2 linked regions of the Lytechinus pictus genome follow. The protein of the gene in region 1 binds, or shares a complex with, the protein of each later gene. Links are inferred from orthologs where the notes say so. Each region holds a gene or a part of one and is shown on either strand. Other genes may lie near its edges.

Region 1 (10,518 bases):
AGCTGTAGTATTTATGAACCAAATGTTCATTTCTATGTGCAGACCGCACACACACAAAGACAATTGGCGATTATGGAGACAAGCAACACGAATAATCATGATATATTGCGACAGGTGAAGACGTCTATAAGGATGATGATGTCATTCAAGTTGGCAAATTTACAAGTACTACTGACTTTTTCAATTAAGAGAGGTTTTCCTCATTCCTGAGGAATTTTTCTCAAGCTGCAGTCTAAGGTATGAAATTTCTTAATGTATTATCTTTTTTCCTCATAATGGAGTAATTAAAAAAATAATTAGTCCATTTCTGTCCGGGATATTTGCTCCACTGAGACTTCATCTGGCTCCTTGGCATCCCCTTTGTCAATAGACCGAATTCTCCCATAGAACTTGTAGTGCCAATGCTTTGCACGACTCTTAACTGCAGCGTCTATGTAGAAAAGGGTGCACTACCACACCCTCTTTGATTTTTCTTTAATCCCTCCATCTGATGGAGAAAACAAAGCGTGTTACCATGATGAATAGGGCATGAACATGATTGGCTGGTGCATTCGCATGCTCAAGCTGCGATACAAACATGACGAAGAACAATCGATGGAACCCGAGACCGGCTCTTTGCAACAATCATTAAATTTACATCACATAATTATGTTAAAATGTTGATTTTCATTTACATGTTTTTTCTCCGTCAAAGGGGGGGAGGGAATTAGGAGTAATTGGTGTGGTAGCTCATCCTCTTCTCTTTAGATGCTGAAGTTAAGCGTCGGTCGAAACTCCACCATTACGAGCCCTATGGCTATGGCCAACATCTGTCTGAGTAAAAGGAGGACCAAAAATTTTTTAAATAAAAAAAAAACTCCTCCAAAACAGCGGATATATCAATGTAGATACCATATTATACATCAAAGGTTTTGAATTGATCTAGGTCTAAATATCTGTGGATTGATTTTATGCTGGTCAATGCTGATGCTTGAAACTGAAAGTCTGACTACTCTGTCAGCTTTTTCAACCTTATTGAGATCCCAATGTCCCATAGAGTGAGACAGGGTGGTTGCACTGCACTATGAAAGTGGTGTCTAACTTTTTCACACTAAAACACAACCTAAACATTTTTAGTTCTCACTATCTGCATGGGCATGGCATGGACTAGACCGATAAATAGGTCTATTTCTGTCAGGGATATGCTCCGCTGAGACTTCGTCTGGCTCCACGGCATCCCCTCCGTCAATAGAATGATGAGGGCCATTGGGCTCGAAGTGGTGGAGCTCCACCGATGCCTTAACTACATGTACAGCGTTTATGAAGAAAAGGGTGTGCTGACGCATCCTCCTAAATTTTGCTTTTTGACGGGGAAAAGGAGAAGAAATAAAGATAGATTTATATTAAATACATTCAGCTTACCACCTTTCTGAAAAATATGATGGAAAATAGCGAATTCTGATGACGAACAGATCAGGATCAGCAAGGTTCTTCTATGATCGCTCGATCACCATCAGCGCAGCTACAGGTGAGCATACAAACGTGCCAGCTAATCCCCTGATCCTGATGTGTTTGTCATCAAATTTTCCAGCATATTTTTCAAAAAGGTGGGCAGTGGTAAGCTGATTGTATTCAATATAAATTTATTTTATTTCTTCCTCTTTTCCCTTGTTAAAATTAAAGCAAAATTTAGGAGTAATCGAGGAGGTTGCAAAAGTGAACCCTTTTCTCCATAGTCGTTGTAGTTAAGGCGTCGTTGAAACTCCACCATTACGAGTGCAATGGCCATCATCCATCCGTCTGTGTAGGAGGAAAAAAAATGTTGAAAAACTCCTCCGAAACAGCGGATTTATGTCGAGTCTGCATGGGCCTAGGCCTACATGTACAATTGTACGAGAATTCAGTCTACAAAGTATGAAGATCAACTGGTGAGTATAGCCAGCGAAAGTCAGTGGAACAATCAGTTGTATGGTAGGGGGTTCTAAAGCTACGCACTACTCCATTGCGCATGCAATTTCAATGGCAAATAAATGCTCACTCTAGCTCTGTGTGTGAAGCTTAAGCTGTGACTGTATAGAGTGACGAACGATCCCTATTCAATATTTCTACAGAGTGCTTTCAGAGGCTGCAATAAATCCTTGAATGCAGAGAAAACCAACAATTTTTTGGAATTTTGGAGGTGGAGTAAAACCCTCAAACATCGGACGGTTCCAAAAATGACTTGAACTCCCTTCACTGTAACTACAGGGACCCGAACTGGCAGGGGACTTGCATGCATAAGAATACATGAACATACATGCTATTGAGCTGCACACACAGTAGATCCAAGTTGCTGCTCAAAAAAAAAAATTCCAGGGGTTAAATCCAGCGGTAAAATCCATAATTTTGACTTCCAGAGATTCTTACGACCCTCGCTAATTATGGACTCCAAAAGATCGATGACCAAAAAAATCTCGTAAGGGAGAAGTGACTTTCGTCAGAAACATCGCCGCTGCGAGATCGCACATGTTCGATCTATCGCAAAAAAATCTGCAAAGAAGAAATATGGCACTATCTCAAACATCGGACATATCGGCCGATTGAATTGGAAATGCGTGCTGTTAACGCGCGCGCAGGTTTCAAGAACGAAGTCGCGTGCAGCTGAGCAAAGAGCCGAAAGAGGTCCGTTGGGTAAGTAAATTATCATTATTTACCGAATTCTATATCAAAGTTATTTATAGTAATAATCAAAATTGGCATTTGCGCAGCTAAAATAAATCATTTTATCAACAAGTCAGCAATTTAATAGCCATACTTGAAATTATGTTATCCCCCCCCCCCCCCCGTTCCTGCCTTTATCTTAATTTCTCTTATCTTTGCTTATTGATTTGTATAATATATACTTTATTCATCGTGTAATCTTTTGTGTGTATCATGTGATATTCTAAATTATTTTGTGCGAACAAATTGAATTTCCATTTATAAATCATGATTGCAATTGGACAATGAAAATATCTGAATCTGAATTATTTTGGGGTCTACAGCACGATTTAAATCGCCGAAATTGATTGCGGCCAACAACTCTACTCGTCCAATATTTGGAGACGGCATCCGATTTTGGGCAAAAAAACAAACTTCTGGTAGTAAGTAAATAATTTCTGTTTAGCATAATAATTTTTTCATTTCTATTCTTTAATGACATTAATATTCAACATTTGTACTACGGAAATAAACATGATTTATATTTGATGCAACAATTGTATTTTTGTTTTAGTCCAATAATGCTTAAGTGTCCAATATTTGGGCACTTTGCTCTATATTCACTCTAATTTCTTTTTTTCCTTTAAATTAATAACACAGACATATTTTAGAAATTTCGGAACAGTAAATACTACTTCTTTGCATAATAAATCGAGAGCGTAACTTTTTAGGACCCCTTCTAAATCGGGCGGCGAAACACGGCGGGATTTTCGTAATGCTATTAGTGAGTTTTGTAACACTTTCTTCTTGGTTAAGGATCTTTAGAATTATAGAATATAATAGATCTAACTTAGAACTAGGCCTAGTGTCTAGTGACGTCTATATTTTACAAAATTAGGTAGGCCTAGTGAAACTTGAAGATGATTTGTTCAAATATTAAAATTGGCATAGTTTTTATAGTTTGAAAACAAAGTGCGTAGCTTTAGGTCCCCCAATCATACAGAGACTGAAGCTTTTGGTCTACACTTAAAGTGAAGAGACTAAAGAAAGACATGATTGAAAGAAAAAAAACGACTGACAAAACAACAACACACGTCAAAGTCAATAGGTGGGGCATAGCAGACTGGATTTTGCTCCTCGGGACACTTGCCTTGGTCTATTTTATGAATTAAAGTAAACCTTGAAAAGTGGACAACGTTTGCATAAACTATGAGCAAAACTCAACACAGACTTCTTTTTAAAAAAATCCTTAATACCAGTACTTACAAGTAATTCAGCTCAGACTCGACCTCAGAATCAGTCCAAATTTGGCTAACCGGCAGACAACAGCAGCAGAGTCTGGACTACGCCCCACAATCGAAGCTCCTGCCGGCCTAGCTAGGCTATAGAGCCTGCATGCATTTTATGCCGCGCGGGTCATTTTTTAATAATTTTTAATATCCCCCCCACAAAAAAATCCATATTTATTGTTCGAAATAAATTTACTTAATTTCTACAAGGCACAGATGAAATAATTTAGATTATCAAGTTTCATTAACTGATAGGTTCTGAAATATCCCCCTAGCAATTTTGTCTCTCCTGTCTAGCTCATGTTTTGTCTTTCCTCTCTCACCATACGCACTTAGAATGTTGGGCAACATACTGTCCACTGTGTTGGATAATGTATGTTGGTAGAAATATATATATTTATATCCAACTAAACAAATTCATTACCCAATTATGTAAGTTTTTATTACCCAATTTGGACAGATTTTTAACAATAGTTGTGTGGACAGTTGTATGTTGCCCAAAGTTGGTTACAAGTTGGACATTTTTGCCCAACTATATATTTTTAGAGTGTAGACCTATTTCTGTTTACAGCACCATTCGCACAATCATCCCCTTGTACTCGTTATGTTATACAATATCCTATGATTTTGTAATGTTTTAATTATAAAGTGACCTCGTTCAGCCCTCACAAAATGATTTATATGTGTCTGCAAGGAATATTCGACATTGAAACTTCCATTTTATTTGGGGGGTGCATGGGCACCGCTGAACGCTCCTTGGTATTGATAGCTTTGGACATATTGGGTATGTGACGTGGGGGTTGTATAACTAAATCATAAATCACTCAAACTGTTGGAATTTTAACAAACTTTGAAGTAAAATTTCTCTGAAATGGGTTTGAAATGTCGTACCTGCATGTGCGACGGTTCGATTGATCACCGACGACATGGTCATCTAAATGGTAAAAATAGCGATGTGAGATGGACGAACGCGTGATGTCGATCAAAAACAAAAAATCATTTTCCAAAGACACTACGAGAAAGAGGAAGGCAATAGACAGATAGAGGAACTGAGAGAGAGGGGAGAGGGAGAGCAGCAGACTGAAAGAGAACTTGGCCACAGAGCATCATTGCGTCCAACCGACATTTGGCATTTCTCAAAAGTTTTGGGCATTTTTATTAATATCCAGTGTGATGAAAATTTTGCCCATTCTAAAGTTATTGCTGCTTGTTTTTTTTAACCTTACTGGACAACATGCTTCCTGCGTTGGGTAAGATACTGCCTCAAATTGGTTGAACACATAATTACCCTCGTGGTGGTAAAATTTTAACCAATATTTTTTTTTACAGTATATGCACCCTATTGGGTGCAAGTGCACACACTTTACACCCTTTAGTGTGCAAACTTACACCCTATGGCCTACACTGTAAAAAATGAAGTGCTAATTTAGTGACTGCACTACGAGTGCTGATTTTCTTGTTCAAATTTATAAACTAGAAAATCGGCACTCGTAGTGCAGTCACTATACAAGCACTGTAAGTGCCAAATTAGCACATCATTTTTACAGTGTAATAAAGGGTGCTGTTATTGTAACTAGGGGTGCAAACTCGATTTTTTTTCTTAGTGTGCACGTAACTATTTCGTAAAGTGAAGAAAAAAGGGGAAGGAGACGAGAAAAACAGCTAGAAGAGGGAGAAAAATAAAAATGCAACGTGATGAGAGTTGTGTAACTCTATACCCTTTTATTACAATGATAAAGAAAACATGATTTCAAAGTTAGGTTATCGTGCTCTTTTCAATCTTGGCATTTTGATCACCCAACATCTATAGCTATATAGAATTTATTTCTCATGTACCTTTAATACCATATTAATAATTGCTATAATAATTTCTATAGCTCTTATTTTTATTTCATGGTTTAGGGAAGTAGCTGGAAATAGCTTACAGTTGGAATATTATTGAACTATAGTATTGGATGACGAGGAGGGTCAGGAGCTGGCATAGTAGGTAAGAAGTTATACGAAAATGATTCAGTTCTAAAAACTAGCGTTCAGTTTCCCTTCTTTTCCCCTTTTAATATAAATAAGGAAGAGTAAATATAATAATAAGACGGGGAAAGAAAGCAAGAGAGGAAGAAAGTGTGTGTGTGTGTGTGTGTGAGGGTGTGTGTGTGTGTGTGTGTGTGTGTGAGGGAGAGAGAGAGAGAAACATCCAAGGGCGGCTGGAGAAAGATAGAGAAAGATGTGAATAGATAAAAAAGTAGGAAGTTTCCGAACTGAGACGCAGAACGCTTTCAAGTTCAATGGAAATGTATTGTCAAATGGATTTAATGACAAAAAAACAACTAAAAACTCTTTGTCGAAGATTAATAATCAAATCAGCAGATCGCCCTACACTTTGCACAAACGACATTTTGCAATTGTTCGTCCACTCTGAAAATGAGGGCTAAACTGCTGTTCCTGTTCACCAATTTTCGACAAAGCCCTCCCAGGTGTTTTATTTGGCGGGCATTTTCAATACATTTACTTTTTTTTTATTTGATCTGCGTCGCGGTTTTTTTTATTAATTATTAAAGTAACACAATCACTGAAAATAAAAATGGGGAAGTGGACTTTCGTGATTCGAAAGTCCGCTCCCCCATCGTCCCGCTTTCAGTGGCATCATTTTCATCTTAGACATCTCTTATTTATCCAAATATTAGACTTTATACATTGTCACTTACCTGTAAATGATAGGTACTGACATTTATATTCATTACGCGACCGGTTCATCCTAACTACAAATAAAACAGTGAGAATAATATATACATTTTTCGAAAACCTAAAAAGACATCTGAAATTTTCTGATGAGTGACTATGTAATGGTGCTCTTTCTTTGATGAAACAAAAGAATAAAATATTTTGCACACCCTAATACAGAACAATTTCAAACACAAAAAAATATGAAATTTATTTAGAAATGCTAACATTTACTTGATCTCAATGAATATTAAATATTATTTAAATAAGGCGTTAATTAAAAAATATAAGTACACTGATCATGATTTTAGAAGAAATAATCACCTTTTCCTAATTGGAGTTAGATTTACTTAATCGAAGCAAGGATACATGAAATTTGATAAATGTATATGAACCCAAATAAATCAAGTAATTCAATTGAATTAAAATTCAAGTTAAAGCTACCTAAAAATCGAGAAATAATTTCAAATAATAAATTCTACTTATACAGTGCGTATCAAAAAAAGTTTACACTGAGACAAAATCCTGTAAAATTATACATTTGTAATATCCTGAAGATTTTTCCACATGTTAACATGGGTACAGATCCATTTAAGCAAATGACGATATAACTGTCGAAAAATATTTCCGCTTGGGTGAGCACCACTTACTTTTGAAAAGTTAGTGAAAAATGATTTGCGCAGAACTTTGAAATAGTTATGCGAATAACAGTAGACCTTAATAATGAAGAACACATGACATTTAGCTAGTAACATTGATTTGAAGATATCTTTTTACCTTTTTAAACTTGTTTTCTTACCCAAAACACTTCGAAGAGTGCCATTGCGCCCCCCCCCACTCCCCCACACACCGAGGCCATCGTGACGATATTTACACTGAGCTGTGATTTACATGAAATGGCTTAGGCTTGATTTTCATTTTGTTAATCATTGTCAAGCTTGGGAAAAGTGTGAAGAAACAAGAATTAAATGAAAAATGAAATGTAAACCCACTTTAAATAATAAAAACTTGAAAAACGTGAAAAAATGCTGGAGATGTCTGATATAAACATTTGTTTAGATTCAATTATGTCCTCAGATCCAGCTGGCACAAAAAGGGTAAAGGTTGTGCTTATTAATTTGTTAAAATTTTAAATTGAGTGGCAAAATTGTTACAAAATGCTTGAATGTATCCGTTTTATTTCAATTGACTAAAAGTGCAAGGGAAATGTATGAAAAATGTTTCACAGGGTAAGTTTGATTTCGCCTTTTCCCCTCGACACAGTGTGAAAACGAGCTTTTCTGCGCAAACAGATTTACAAAAATGGACAGTACTCACTCAAGTGTAATATTCTGTCAAATCTTTTACTTTCATTGGATAGATGAGACCCAAACCCAAGAATATATGTGAAAAAATTACCCACATGTATTTTTTAATTCCCAGGGCTTTTTCAAAGTGAAATTTTTTTTTTGATACGCACTGTATACATTAAGTGTTAAATACTTATTAAGATAATTTTTTACCGAGTATTAAAACAACGTTCTATAGTGTGTAGATACCTCATTATTTTGCATTAAGTCTTATTTTACACTCATTCTACAATATCAAGTTTGTTTTTACATTTATATATGATGAGCTACACAAACTTGAAGATTGAAAACACCCTAAAAATGTATCACACGAGTCACAAAATAGGTCCATATTTTACATTGCTTGAAAAGTATAGCAGATTGTATGAATTGTAGTTGATTACTTCTGAGGATCTTAGGACCTCAATAATTCCAGCAAAAAAAATTTCAATGTGTAAGCCCCTTCATTATGAAAAAAAAAACACCAGGGGGCCGTTTCATAAAGCTGTTCGTAAGTTAAGAGCGACTTTAAGAACGACTGGTGAACCTTTCTTACAAGTTGAACCATCGCCAATTAACATTTTGGTGTATATACCATTCACCACAAGAAAGGATCACCAGTCGTTCTTAAAGTCGCTCTTAACTTACGAACAGCTTTATGAAACACCCACCTGAACAGAAATGTCACGCGAGTCACATTAAGATTTCTTAGGGTTCTCATGCGAGTCACGTTTTTAGAAATCTTTGAAAATAAAGAGAATTATTGATTTTTTTAAAGATTAACTTTGCCTTTAAAAATTATTTCATGTAGAAGGCTTTAAGATTACATTAATGGTAATAATGCTTTATATTGATTAATCAAGATAGATAATAACAAAACACATTCTAAGAAGAATGTCATTTTCTGATCAGCCATTCCTTAGAATTAGATACCCAAGGCTTCAAAATTTAAGCTTTACCATTTAACAAATAATAGTTGTTTTTTGCTAAGTGCATGTCTAAAAGGTGTAAATTTGATTTTCACTGCCTTTCACCTTCAAATGACCAGTGACACCATCAGAGTAGTAAAATTTACATACCTTTTTGGTACTTTTTTAAATAACACTCATTCATAATAGAAAAAATGGTTCTGTTGTCTGTAAATACATCATTTTTGTATTCTGTCTAATTTTGTAATCCATTATCAATTTGTTTTTGCGTAAATCTAGTAGAACAAATCTTTAAAAATATTCAATATTGAAAACACCCTTGAAATGTATCATGGGAGACACAATAATACTGCAATGTTTTACTTAACTTAAAACGTAGTAGGTAGTTGATAAAAGCATGATGCGAGTAAGGAGCATAAAGTACCAATTATACCGGCAAAGAATATTGCCAAGTGTAAAACCCTTCATAAAAACAACCCCAAAGTATACACATACTTTAATGGTACTCCATAGCATAGGTGGATCCTGGGGGGTGGGGGCCGAGGGGCCCGCCCCCCCCCCTTATGAAGGAGCAAAAAAAGAAAGAAAAGGAAAGAAAAATAAGGGGGGAGGAAGGGAAAAGAGAGGAGAAAAAAGAAGAGGAGGAAGACGAGTGAATAAAATAAGATGAGGGGAAGACTTGGAAAAAAAAAGAATCTTTCATGTCACTTTACAAAATTTTCGCTCGCGCTTCGCGCTCGCATTGCCTGTAAGGTGATTTCCATATCTTGTTCAATATGGAGTTTAAATATCAAGTTTGGAAGTCAATATACAGAACATATCTCACCTCGGAAATCGAACTTTCATTATTTTGTGTGATCTACAAATTGATTTTTAAAAAGTGCTCTGTAAAAAAAAAAAAATCATTTTTATAGTATGAATATTAACATTATCTGCTCGCGCTGCGCGCTCGCAAATTTTGATTTATCAGGTATAACTTCTGAACGTTTCCATGGCGAAGAAAAATAGTGTAGTAGGTTTCACGGTACACCATGTATCTTTCTTGGGCAGATGTTGGTCCTGAAAAGGACCACCCAACCAAGAGATTGGGTGGTCCTTTTCAGGACCAACATCTGCCCAAGAAAGATACATAGTGTACCGTGAAACCTACTACACTATTTATCATGTACCTATTATTTTCGTGTATTCCATAAAGTTTTCAAAATATCCCTTTTCAGGTCTGATTATCAGGTCTCAATATTGATTATATAACAAACTACTTAAATCCCCTCACCTTTTCATGACAGTTTATCAAAAATTTTGGCTCGCGATTTGCGCTCGCATTGATAGTTAAAATATGTTAACTGATGCATCTTATTTATAATTACAAAAGTGCTTGAAATGTCCAGTTTTCAGGCCATAATATCATCAGATTTTGCGCCCTTATTAGGCATTAATGAATAAGATTTTAATTGTATAATTAAATTCTCCCATTTGTTTCATCTCGCGCTTAGCAAGAGGAATAGGAAGATAGTCATCATTTTCATATGCATGTCCTAAGGATGTCCCGGTCCTTTGTTAAAACTCAAAGTAATATATAATTATGAGAAATATCAG
Region 2 (10,535 bases), on another chromosome or scaffold:
GACAACTTGTTTAGGGGTCAAAATGTGTAAATAAGCCCGCGAAAAACTTGTTTAGGGGGTTATTTTGCACACAGAGAAAAACTCGTTTGGGGATGTTTGGAAATAATTTGGTCACGCGTGTGTACAGCAATACATTTGACTGCCCCCCCCCCCGGGACTGACAGTCCAATTTATGTGACGTGGGTGTGCATGTGAATTTGCTGTGTGTTGTCACGGGGTTGTCTGCTCGATGTGGCTCCGATCTATGTTACTTCAAAGTATAATTATGATTTTGTTAATTGGAAATTACAATATCTGTTACAATATCAACATCACTCTTTCTCTCTTTGTTTTAATTCTCTCTTATTCTTTTTTCTCCCTTTCATGGATGTCATTGGTATTCATGGGTGGGGCTGACTGACACAAATTTTGTTCTCTGTGGGTGATTTTTTTGGGGGGGAATCATTGGCTTTATGAATCTATTTTTTATGTTAATTGCTATTTCATAATGTAACCGTTCATTTCAGAAACCGCAAGAAACAACTGGATAGAGAAAGAAAGTAAAAATCCAGGCCAGCTAGGATAAACTGGAATGTTCATGTTATATGTTGTACATGGCATTATCTTTTTGAAATTTACCCGTCACTGCAACTATTATTAAGCGCATTGGCTGTACCCAGTTTATTTTACCCCATTTTGAGTATCGATCACTGATTTATTTATTTATTCATTTATTTATTTATTCATTTATTTATTTATTCATCTATTTTAGTTTATCTATTTAGTCATTTTTTATTTTTTTTATTCATTCAGGCTCATGATGTAAAATAGTTGGAGAATACAAGCGAAATGATAATCAGAATATCAAAAAGAACCCCCAAAAAAGAGAGAATTAGGAATGGAAAAGAAAATGGTGCACTTTGATAAATATTTTGAAATATCATGTAAAAATGACCGGAAATGACCAAGGTTAGATTGTAAAATTCGCGCTTGGCTTACTTGTAGCTTTAAAAAGATTTCGCCCTCTCCGCCATGTCTGGCCCTAAAAATATTGAGACCCACTAAAGGCGTACCCCCCCCCCCGAAAAAAAAAATATTTTGTATCAGTCATCCCCCAAAACCATGAACACAGATCGTCACCCACGGAATTGAGAATTAATGCATGACGAAGGCGAGAAAAGAAGAAGGGAGAATGAAAAAAGAGATAAAAAGAGATTTTGATGATTTTCAATTACATAATCAATGGCATTTGTTGATTGGACCTGAAAAACACACAAATGCGCATGCACACCCGGCGATCTACATTATTTACTTGGACTGAAGACAAAATTAATGAACTCGGTGATATATATAAATATATAAGTTTGCGTTTCAAAAATACGTTTGTGCTGGATCGAAATACATTACTCCTTCGAAAATGTGAAGGCTTAAACTATGATTTTCAAGAGACCAATTAGCACGGAACATCACCGTCTTGCATGTCTCTTCGATCATCGTACAGATGTTAAAATATTCATGACTTACTTCTGTCGGGGGTAGGGACACTAATTGATTGAGGGGACTAAACTATTTTCACTGCAAGGACGCGAGTGCTGTTGTGGGTTTGGGGTCCTGGACCTTGTGGTTCAAATTCTGGAGACTCTTTCACTGAGGCACAACACCTCTAAATAAAACCTACATGGCTATAACAAGAAACGTAGCAAGTACACAGCAGCGTTTTTTTTGTCGAGCGAATTAGGAATCGTCCAGGGCACTAGCGTACCTACAGGGGGGCAGGGGGGGCACTCTGCCCCCCCCCCTGACGAGCCACAACCCATACAAAATACATATCACTGCCCCCCTGACGAGCTTGAAAGACCTTTTATGCCCCCACCCCCTTACGAGCTTGAAGACCTTTATTGCCCCCCTGACGAGCTTGAAGCCCTTTTTTTTTTTTTTTTTTTTTTTTTTTTTTTTTTTTTTTTTTTTTGCTTGTCATTTTTTTTTCTGGTACAATAACCTTTATTTTTGATTGAAGACCTTTTTTTTTTTATTTTTTTTTTTTTTGCTTGTCAATTTTTTGGGCGGTCGATTTTGCCCCCCCTGTGGAAAATCCTAGGTACGCCACTGGTCCAGGGCCATATACCCATGCAGGATCAAAACTTGCTTGAGCAACAATTGCTTAACGGAGATTTATCACTTTTTTTATTTTTCCAGGGTATCATTAGAACCCTGATCATGGCAATGTCAACTCTGTTCCAAACTCCTCTCAAAGCCCAGCTGAATCGACCTCATGGTGTTGTGCTGCACAAGGACAACTATGTCGTGGCGGATACGTATAACAACCGTGTAGTTGCTATCAACCCAAGTAATTCATTTTGGACAGTCCTCTGCTCCCAGAAGAACTTTCTACCTTACGGCATCCTTGCTTTGTCAGAAGTTGATGACAATTTTCTAATAACGGATATGGGTAAGCAGAGCAAAGGATGCGTGTACGAGTTGAAAAATGGGAAGCTAACTCAATGGACCAAAGGTTATGCAAAATTCACGAACCCAACTGGCATTGCAAAGCGAGATGGAAAGGTGTACGTAGCAGATTGGGGGATGAATTGTATTCATGTTTTCGACATGAACGGGAAGTTTGCCCACAAGATAGGAGAAGGTAACTTAGACAGTCCATGGTTCATTGCATTCAACTCAAAGAATCGCCTATATGTTGCAGATTTTAAGGCTATTCGTATCTTTAATCAAGATGGTAAATTTAAAGAGCGCGTAACAATCCCGACTTCAAAACTGTCTTGGCATTACCGAGGCATTGCCATTGACAAGGATGACAACATCTTCATCACTGCTCGCGCCGATACTTCTCGTCTACTTTACACGGATGAGACAGTGACGGTGTTGGATAAAGACCACAAACCGATTGGAGATGTCACTCGAGGATGGTGGACTTTCAACTACTTGAGAGGACTTTGTGTTGATAGGAAGAACAACGCAGTTGTAGTGGTTGATGGCGAATGGCACAGGATTCAATTGATCTCATACAATGTGCTTATGGAAAATTCAGCGTAGGGAGTTTATTGCTATTTCACATCACAGTATTGGTGTCCTTTTATTCCGGATATATATACCCTATTTCCACAAAGCTTACACAATGAGATCACTAGATGCTGTTTCTTATTCGGACATGTATATTATACCGGATATTATACTATTGTATTGTATTACCAGTTATACTATTGTATTGTATTGTATTGTATTACCAGTATTGTATTACCAGTTGTGAGAATTATGTTTTCTGTTCGCAATTGTCTGCTTCCTTCGCCTTTTTATCTTTCTATGTCTTGTATAGCTCTGGCTACCCTTTCTTATTCCTACTCTTTATTCCCCCTGCTCTCTCACACTATCTCTTCAGACTCCACCTTGTTTTCCTGACTACCACACCCTCTCTCTTCTATTAATTTTCTCCCGACTCTCTTTCTCGGCCATTCTTTTGTTTTCCCCTCTCTATTTATTTTTATATTGTAAGTGCACATTCCCTTGATACTTTTTAATATTTAATTATAATACGTATTTGGAATTTGTTACAGGCCACCTATCGTGTAAACATTGTTACTACAATTCAGAATTTCTGCTATCGTAATAATGTTTTGTAATTTAGTAATTTTATATAGTACTCTGTAAATCATTTTGTATCTGCTTGCTTGAGTTACGATGAATAAGTACCATTATTATTATAGGATGCCATTAAAGTAAATTCAAATTTCGTAGAATTCAGACTGAATCTTCTGAAGGTACATTTTCAATCTTTAAAATGAGAAGAGATAAAACGAAATGAAATTAAAGTGTGCTAATCCTGACAAGCTACACCAACATGATAATTTGCTATTTCGACTATTAAAAAAAAAATCATATGAAATATCAAATTCCTTTTAATTAACGCGAGACGGACTACACCTAGCCCTCATACCACCCTTTCACAAGGTAAAAACAATCGTAATTTGAATGATGATTCCAGTGAAAAAAATAAGGCTAATGACGAATATTTAGCACGTGTGAAATCAAACTAGAACCTAATATTAGAATCACGAACGATAATCAAAGTCACGACTGCAATTGCAATCATTATTGCATTGATGATTCAAGATTCGCGTGTGGAAACGCCCTTACTTTATTTGAGCTTTTTGTGTATTGGATTTCGTCTTCGGTGAATTCTTTTGAATTTTGGGGACTTGACGCAATAATAGGTCTGCTGTTGAATCAACCATGTCATGGTGTACTGTATCAGAATTTGGTTAAGATTGAAATTTTTAATGGCCGGCCACAACATCCACGAACATAATTTCGCCGTTTTTACCAATCCTCATTAAAATTGTTTGAATTATAAAGGTTTTCCCGTCCAATTTCATCAGAAATGCATTTAAATTAGTAAAAGGACGTTCAAATTCGAAAGATTTTTGTCCACCCTCTGCACACATGGTTCAATTTTAATTTATACAGCATTCAATTCCATTTTATATCATTCCTTTGAATTTGTAGAAATTCAATTTAGAGAGAGATTCGTTCAAATTAATGGCCCAAAGTTGTCATTGAATTTCGCTACGACGGGCTGATCGATCGTTTAATTTCGCCTTAAATACTATTTTCAATTTCGTTTATCGGGACACATATTTGCACTTTAAACGTCCAAATTCAGATAACATGTTCGTGTTCATTTTTTATTACTTTATACAATATTTGTTCAAACTTTATCTTTTCTTTCTATTTTTTCTGATCTTTTTAGTTAGATTCATTTTATTCCATTATCTTTGATAAAGACGTAATTCATGTAACACTTATAGGATATATGGGTGTAAACGGTTATTCTTCTTTTTTTTACATAATTATGATTTATATTGTGTTGGGAAAGGGATGAGAAACATGGTATTGAACATCCAATTTCAAAGTAATCCCATTTCCATATTTATTCAAAAGACGTAAAAAAAACACCTACGAAAAACACTGTCCATGTCCTATAAGTAATTGCATATTTATGATTTTGAATTCCTAAACGTTCGCAAGGAGGGTACCGGTGATAATTTGAAAACACTTTTTCAGCTATTTCAATTTGATCGTTCTTTATACATGTTTAAATAATAAACAAAATTAAATTTAATTAAGCATTTGACCCTTTAAATGTTGATCTTATACATGTTATATTTAATATAACATGTATAAGATCAACATTTAAAGGGTCAAATGCTTAATTAAATTAAGTCTTTCAAATTAGTTGCAAATTGAATTATTACATCATTAAATTGGTTGATTTTTACAAAATTCGACGGGAAAACCTATATTATATCCCTTATTCAAAACGGAATAAATAAATCAAATCAATCAATCAATGGCACAATATTGATATCCGATAACGAATGTGGCACTTCAACATACCGTCAGGTGAAACCCTGCCCTAAGTATATAAAACGACTAATTATAAATTTGACAAAAATTATTCCTCGCAAATTTTGATTATGTATAGCAGATTGTATACTCAGTGGATTGTTATATCCATTCTGCTTAAAGTATTCTTGTTTCCCCCATTATCATGTACTGTTAAGCTATTAAAGACCCTATTCTCGCACAGCAATTTTGTTGTCCCCTGCTAATATAACGTGATTTGATTTAATAGAGAGAGTGAGTGAGTCAGAGAGAAATGGAAAGAGAGGGGGAGCAAGGAGAGAGAGAGAAAAAAAGGGAGGGGAGAGAGGGAGGGAGAGAGAGGGGGTAGAGATTTTCTTTTATCGCCAACTCGATCTTCACCCGTCCACTCATCACAGAATCTATCTTCTTTTCGTCTATACCGTCCATCAGGAATTTTGTCTAACAACCATTTTGTCCCAATCACTTCGTCTAAACACCAGTTCGACTGTATGACCATGTCGTCTCAAATCTAGCTGGTCTAATGCAGGGGCGACGGAATGGTTTTGAGAGTGGGGGTGGGGGGGGGGGGGGGGGCTTGGGAAGGCTGACCATGCAAAAAATCACTATCAGATGGTAATTTTTACGTTTTTGTACACGATTTTGGAGAAAAAAGGTGGGGTTGAAGCCCCATAGCCCGCGGCCCCTGTAATATCCAATATTTGGAAAGTTTTTAAACAACAATGAGTGCCATTGCAAGGATATTCCATTCTAAATCCCGATTTTTCTTTTTAAAATAGGAAATATGCAAATGAGGTAAACCACGTGATCAGCATCATCAGATTACTGGTCTTGACCAGTTTAATTTCAAACAATGAATTACTTTAGACCAGTTGACTATAACAGAGGAAAATATCTTGCTTTGATCTTAATCATAATTAAAGGAAATAATTATTTTAATGATAATGTTAATACTTGATAATTATGATAATATTAATAATAATTATTACAATATCGATAACAATGATAACAGTAATAAGAATTATGACAACAATGATCATAATAATAATCATTATGATAATTATAAGAAGAATGATGATAAAAATGATAACGATAATAACTTTCTCTGAATTGCAAGATTCATTTTCCATAATTCGTCAAATGATCTGACTTGAAATAAAGTAATTATTTATTGGACCAGTAATACCAGTTTGATGAAAAACAATTTAACTGGTATTACTACTTTGCTTCAACTGGAATGCAATTGTTTGAACTGGTCTCCAGTTGATTTTTACTGGTCCAGTTAAAAATCAACTGGCCCAGTAAAAATATACTGGAAACCAGTAAAATTCTACTGGAAACCAGTAAAAATTCTTAATGGTCTTACTGGTTTTTCCTTCTGGGAATCAATGCGTCAACTCTTGATGTTTTGTGTGTCGTCCTCTCCGATCGTGACCGGTATAGTCTCAAAATTCTGTCGTAAATTCACCGAATCAAAATCCCGGACGTCGACCCTCGGAGTCTTGCTCCCAATTTATGATACAAACCAGGCCTTAGGCTTAGAACATGTGAGTCTCATGTTCTTATAATATTGTTTTCTGTCATTAAGAACACTCACGGAGGTAATTTCATGCACCCAATTTTGAAAGTTGTTTGGTTCTGTTGTCTTCGGCCCCATGCATCCAATTTTGCGTGGGTAAAATCACTAAAAACCAAAGTGGGCGTTGTGAATTGTTTTGTCTGCGGGCTCGACTACTAACTCAGTACGGTAAGTTACTCTGTCTCTGGACTGAAGTCTCTGTATCCATATTTACACACAGGGTGAAATCGGTTTATAGGTGTGAATTTTTTTGATATTTGAACCTTCAAATGCGTATGAACTTAAGTTAAGGGATAAAATTATTAAATATTGGCCAAATCGTGGTTTCGGGAACCACTCGTACTTGTCGATTTGTATACGCGCACTTGTGTGCAAAGACAAAGTGAATGGAGGTGGAAATAGGGAACCGTGCATGTGACTGAATAAAGCACTGCTGTATGAAGTGAACGGTGGTTCCCAATATCACGATAATGCCAAATTATTTCACTTAATGGCAAAAATGAGAGGTTTTTTACGTACCAGACTGATCTCGTGTAGATCCTTCAATCCGTTTGTCAACAAAGACAAAAAAAAAAAGGGTCAAAGTACGGTATGTTGCAAAAAAAATAAATCTCAGAAATAAGGTGTTTTCTTCATGGCATTATTTAGAGCTCATCAACTTCAACTTCAATTAAAACATCCTTCCCAAGACCTTTAGTTTAAATAATCTAACACCTCATTTATCTCAATAGCCCCAGAAATAAGAAAGTTATTGTAGTTTTAAGGTCGTATAAATCGCCTATTCAATTCTTATGTATTCCTTTGTTTTTTAAGCCAAAAGTTGTGATCTTAATTGGGACCAAGGTACACTAAGTAATAGAAAACACCAATGGCAATGCGCATACATTGGCATATGGAAATGCCCAACAACACTCTCAAAAATTACAGAAGCCGCCGAAACAGGGACTTAAAAAACACACTTAGCGTCAGTTGATTTCATTCAAATTTCACCACAATATAGTTAAAATGTTGCTCTATCGGAATGAATGTACCTTTTAAATTGGGATGATACCTGTAAATATGAATAGCAAGACTCAGAGGTTGAAAGCAAGGCCAAAGTTCCAGTAGCACACAGAGTCGCAAGATCACCGAGTGAGAGTTTTTTTCAAGTCTAGACAGCTGCCATAAACATTCAACTACGTAAAAACAATGATGTCATGGGGAATAACCTTTCCATGCACATGCAAACACAATACAAAGCAATGCCCCCACAGTCACCCTGAGATTATAGGCAGCACACTCAATGCTTCATTCAGAATGCACCTAGAGGGCGCTTTTGCAACACACCTACACAAAGTACGGTGACAAAGCAAATACAATAGGTCTGACCTGTGAACCGCTTCGTTATGACGTACATCCGATTAGCGATGCCGTTTTGAAGAACAATTGATGGATAAAAATTATTATTTCATAAATTGTGAAATAATCAAGTTTCAAATTTTATTATAAAACCGATCTGCCCAGATTTGACAGTTGCCTTGAGGGTAATGCGGGTGCGAATGAATGGCTACTGCAACTTGCACATGTAGGTTTTTTTATGTAACTTGCTATGGTGGGTCTCTAGATATGTTTATCGTTTTTCTGGACTTGTTTATTATAGAAAAATTACCACGACATCATATCACAAGGCACTTCAAGGATGAGTGTGAAAGCTTTTGAACTGGTTCCAGCCGTAGAGAGGTTGAAGCTACTTGGGGAGAGAACAAGCAAAACTTCAGTAAGTTCAACTTACTTTTACTTTGATGTAGATGTCATGTTTGTATGTTCCTGAAGATAGCAGAGACTTGAAAGAATAGCAAATATTTTTTGTTTTCTTCGATCGATTAAATATCATTTTCATAATGATTTGAGCCTTCTGAAGGAAAAATTTTGCTTTCTCGTACAAAAAGAACTTCTGCTACACAAAGGACTTTTTGTGTAGCAGTCTATAAAGAATTTGGACTAGATTGCAATGTGATAACCAGGAAAATTATATTTCATATCCTTACTTAAATTGAGCCAGCAGTAGGATATATGAGGAGATATTTTTAGAAAAAAAGGGGAAACAAAGAAGGAGGGTAGAATAGTTGAAGAAGTTAGAGGTAGGAACAAGACAAACTGGAGGGAAATGAGAGAACAAATTTTTTTATTTTGTTTTGTCTTGTCCTCCTTTTGTCTCATCTTTCTTTCCTATAGATTGAATGTATAGAATGCTGTGGAAAGAATCTCTACATTGGGACAAGTGACTGGTAAGATTATACAATTATTTGTGGGTGGGTTCAATAATAATAATGATAATAATAATTATAATACACATGTATATGGGATTTGTAATGCGCCAAATCCACTCGGCAGAGTGCCCAAGGCGCAGGGAAAGAAAGAATGAAAGAAAAACTTACAAATATATTATTGATAGATTCAGGAACAATTAAGAATAGGAAGCATTGAATAGACGTGTCTTAAGGTAATGTTTAAATGTGTCAGTGGAAGTGCATTCACGGATAACCAGGGGAAGATCATTCACGAGAACAGGGACAGCGTGAGCAAAAGCCCAAACCCCCCATGTCTTAACGGATTTGGGAATAACTACATGTAGGTAACCAGAGATGGATGAACGTAGGGACCTGACAGTGTATTTGTTAATTAGATTAATATTGTACTGTGGAGCAGAACCGTTAATTGCATGTAATACAAGGAGAAGAATTTTGAAGATGATGCGATCATGATCGCGAATGGATGTGATAAGAACACTTGTGTTACTCCTGACACTTCCTATCATTACCCTGGTGTAGCATACATCGTGGTAGGACATGTGTCGATCTCTCCTTTTACATCATTTTGCCAACTCCAGTTTGTTATGCATACTATGAAAAAAAGGAGTGCAGAATGCTGAATATCAAAAGCACCCAGGTGCATCACAGTTTATTTCAAGTCAATATTAAAAAAGAGATCTTGTCTGTCTAGTGAGGATTAGGATTTATTTTGTTTTTCATTCAGTTTTGGTATATCCAGTTTGCTTTTTGGGAAATCTTACAACAAACACAATGGGCTCATGCATGTATATCATTACTCATGTTTAATTGAATTTATACAAGAGATGGGACTCGGTTTGATCTTGTATTCATATATACAATTGGACAGTGGAAAGGTTATTTGATGTTAAACAAAGAGAAGGAGAGGAAGACAATATGTGAAAGACATCATTTAATTCCATAGGTCCGTATTCTGAAGTCGGGTGTAACTTAAACTCGGGTTTAAAGTTGTGGTTTAAGTATGGATAGCCAATTGTTACATAAATCACTAACAGTAGAGATATAATATTTCACCTCATTTGGCTCTCAAATCATTCATAATTGTGTAGAAAGTATGAATAGATGATTGTCTTCACCATCGATGAATCAGGAAAGAGCACAGTAAACATAAGAAACATACAACTTAAGAAAAATTTTGACACTTTTGGCTTCCCATAATTTTAGCACAGAGTTTAATGGTCTAAGTTAAACCTGACTTCAGAATAAGGGCCATAGTGGCTAGTAATAACAACTACAAACTACAATTTGCC

What was found. Proteins that work in one complex are often made in the same cells at the same time.
Region 2: vacuolar protein sorting-associated protein 8 homolog (region 1) and transforming growth factor-beta receptor-associated protein 1-like share a complex: the UniProt entries of both Homo sapiens proteins name them as parts of the putative class C core vacuole/endosome tethering (CORVET) complex. The link is inferred for Lytechinus pictus from reciprocal best matches to the Homo sapiens genes VPS8 and TGFBRAP1.

The regions. Positions count from the first base shown.
Region 1 is NC_087245.1:17,277,335-17,287,852, forward strand, and holds the start of vacuolar protein sorting-associated protein 8 homolog, read right to left. Parts: upstream 4,287-10,518; 5' UTR 3,925-4,286; intron 1-3,924. UniProt on the Homo sapiens protein: Plays a role in vesicle-mediated protein trafficking of the endocytic membrane transport pathway.
Region 2 is NC_087250.1:18,851,026-18,861,560, forward strand, and holds the start of transforming growth factor-beta receptor-associated protein 1-like, read left to right. Parts: upstream 1-6,765; 5' UTR 6,766-6,779; coding exon 6,780-6,923; exon of another isoform or gene 6,924-7,123; intron 7,124-8,594; coding exon 8,595-8,711; intron 8,712-9,169; coding exon 9,170-9,222; intron 9,223-10,535. UniProt on the Homo sapiens protein: Plays a role in the TGF-beta/activin signaling pathway. It associates with inactive heteromeric TGF-beta and activin receptor complexes, mainly through the type II receptor, and is released upon activation of signaling.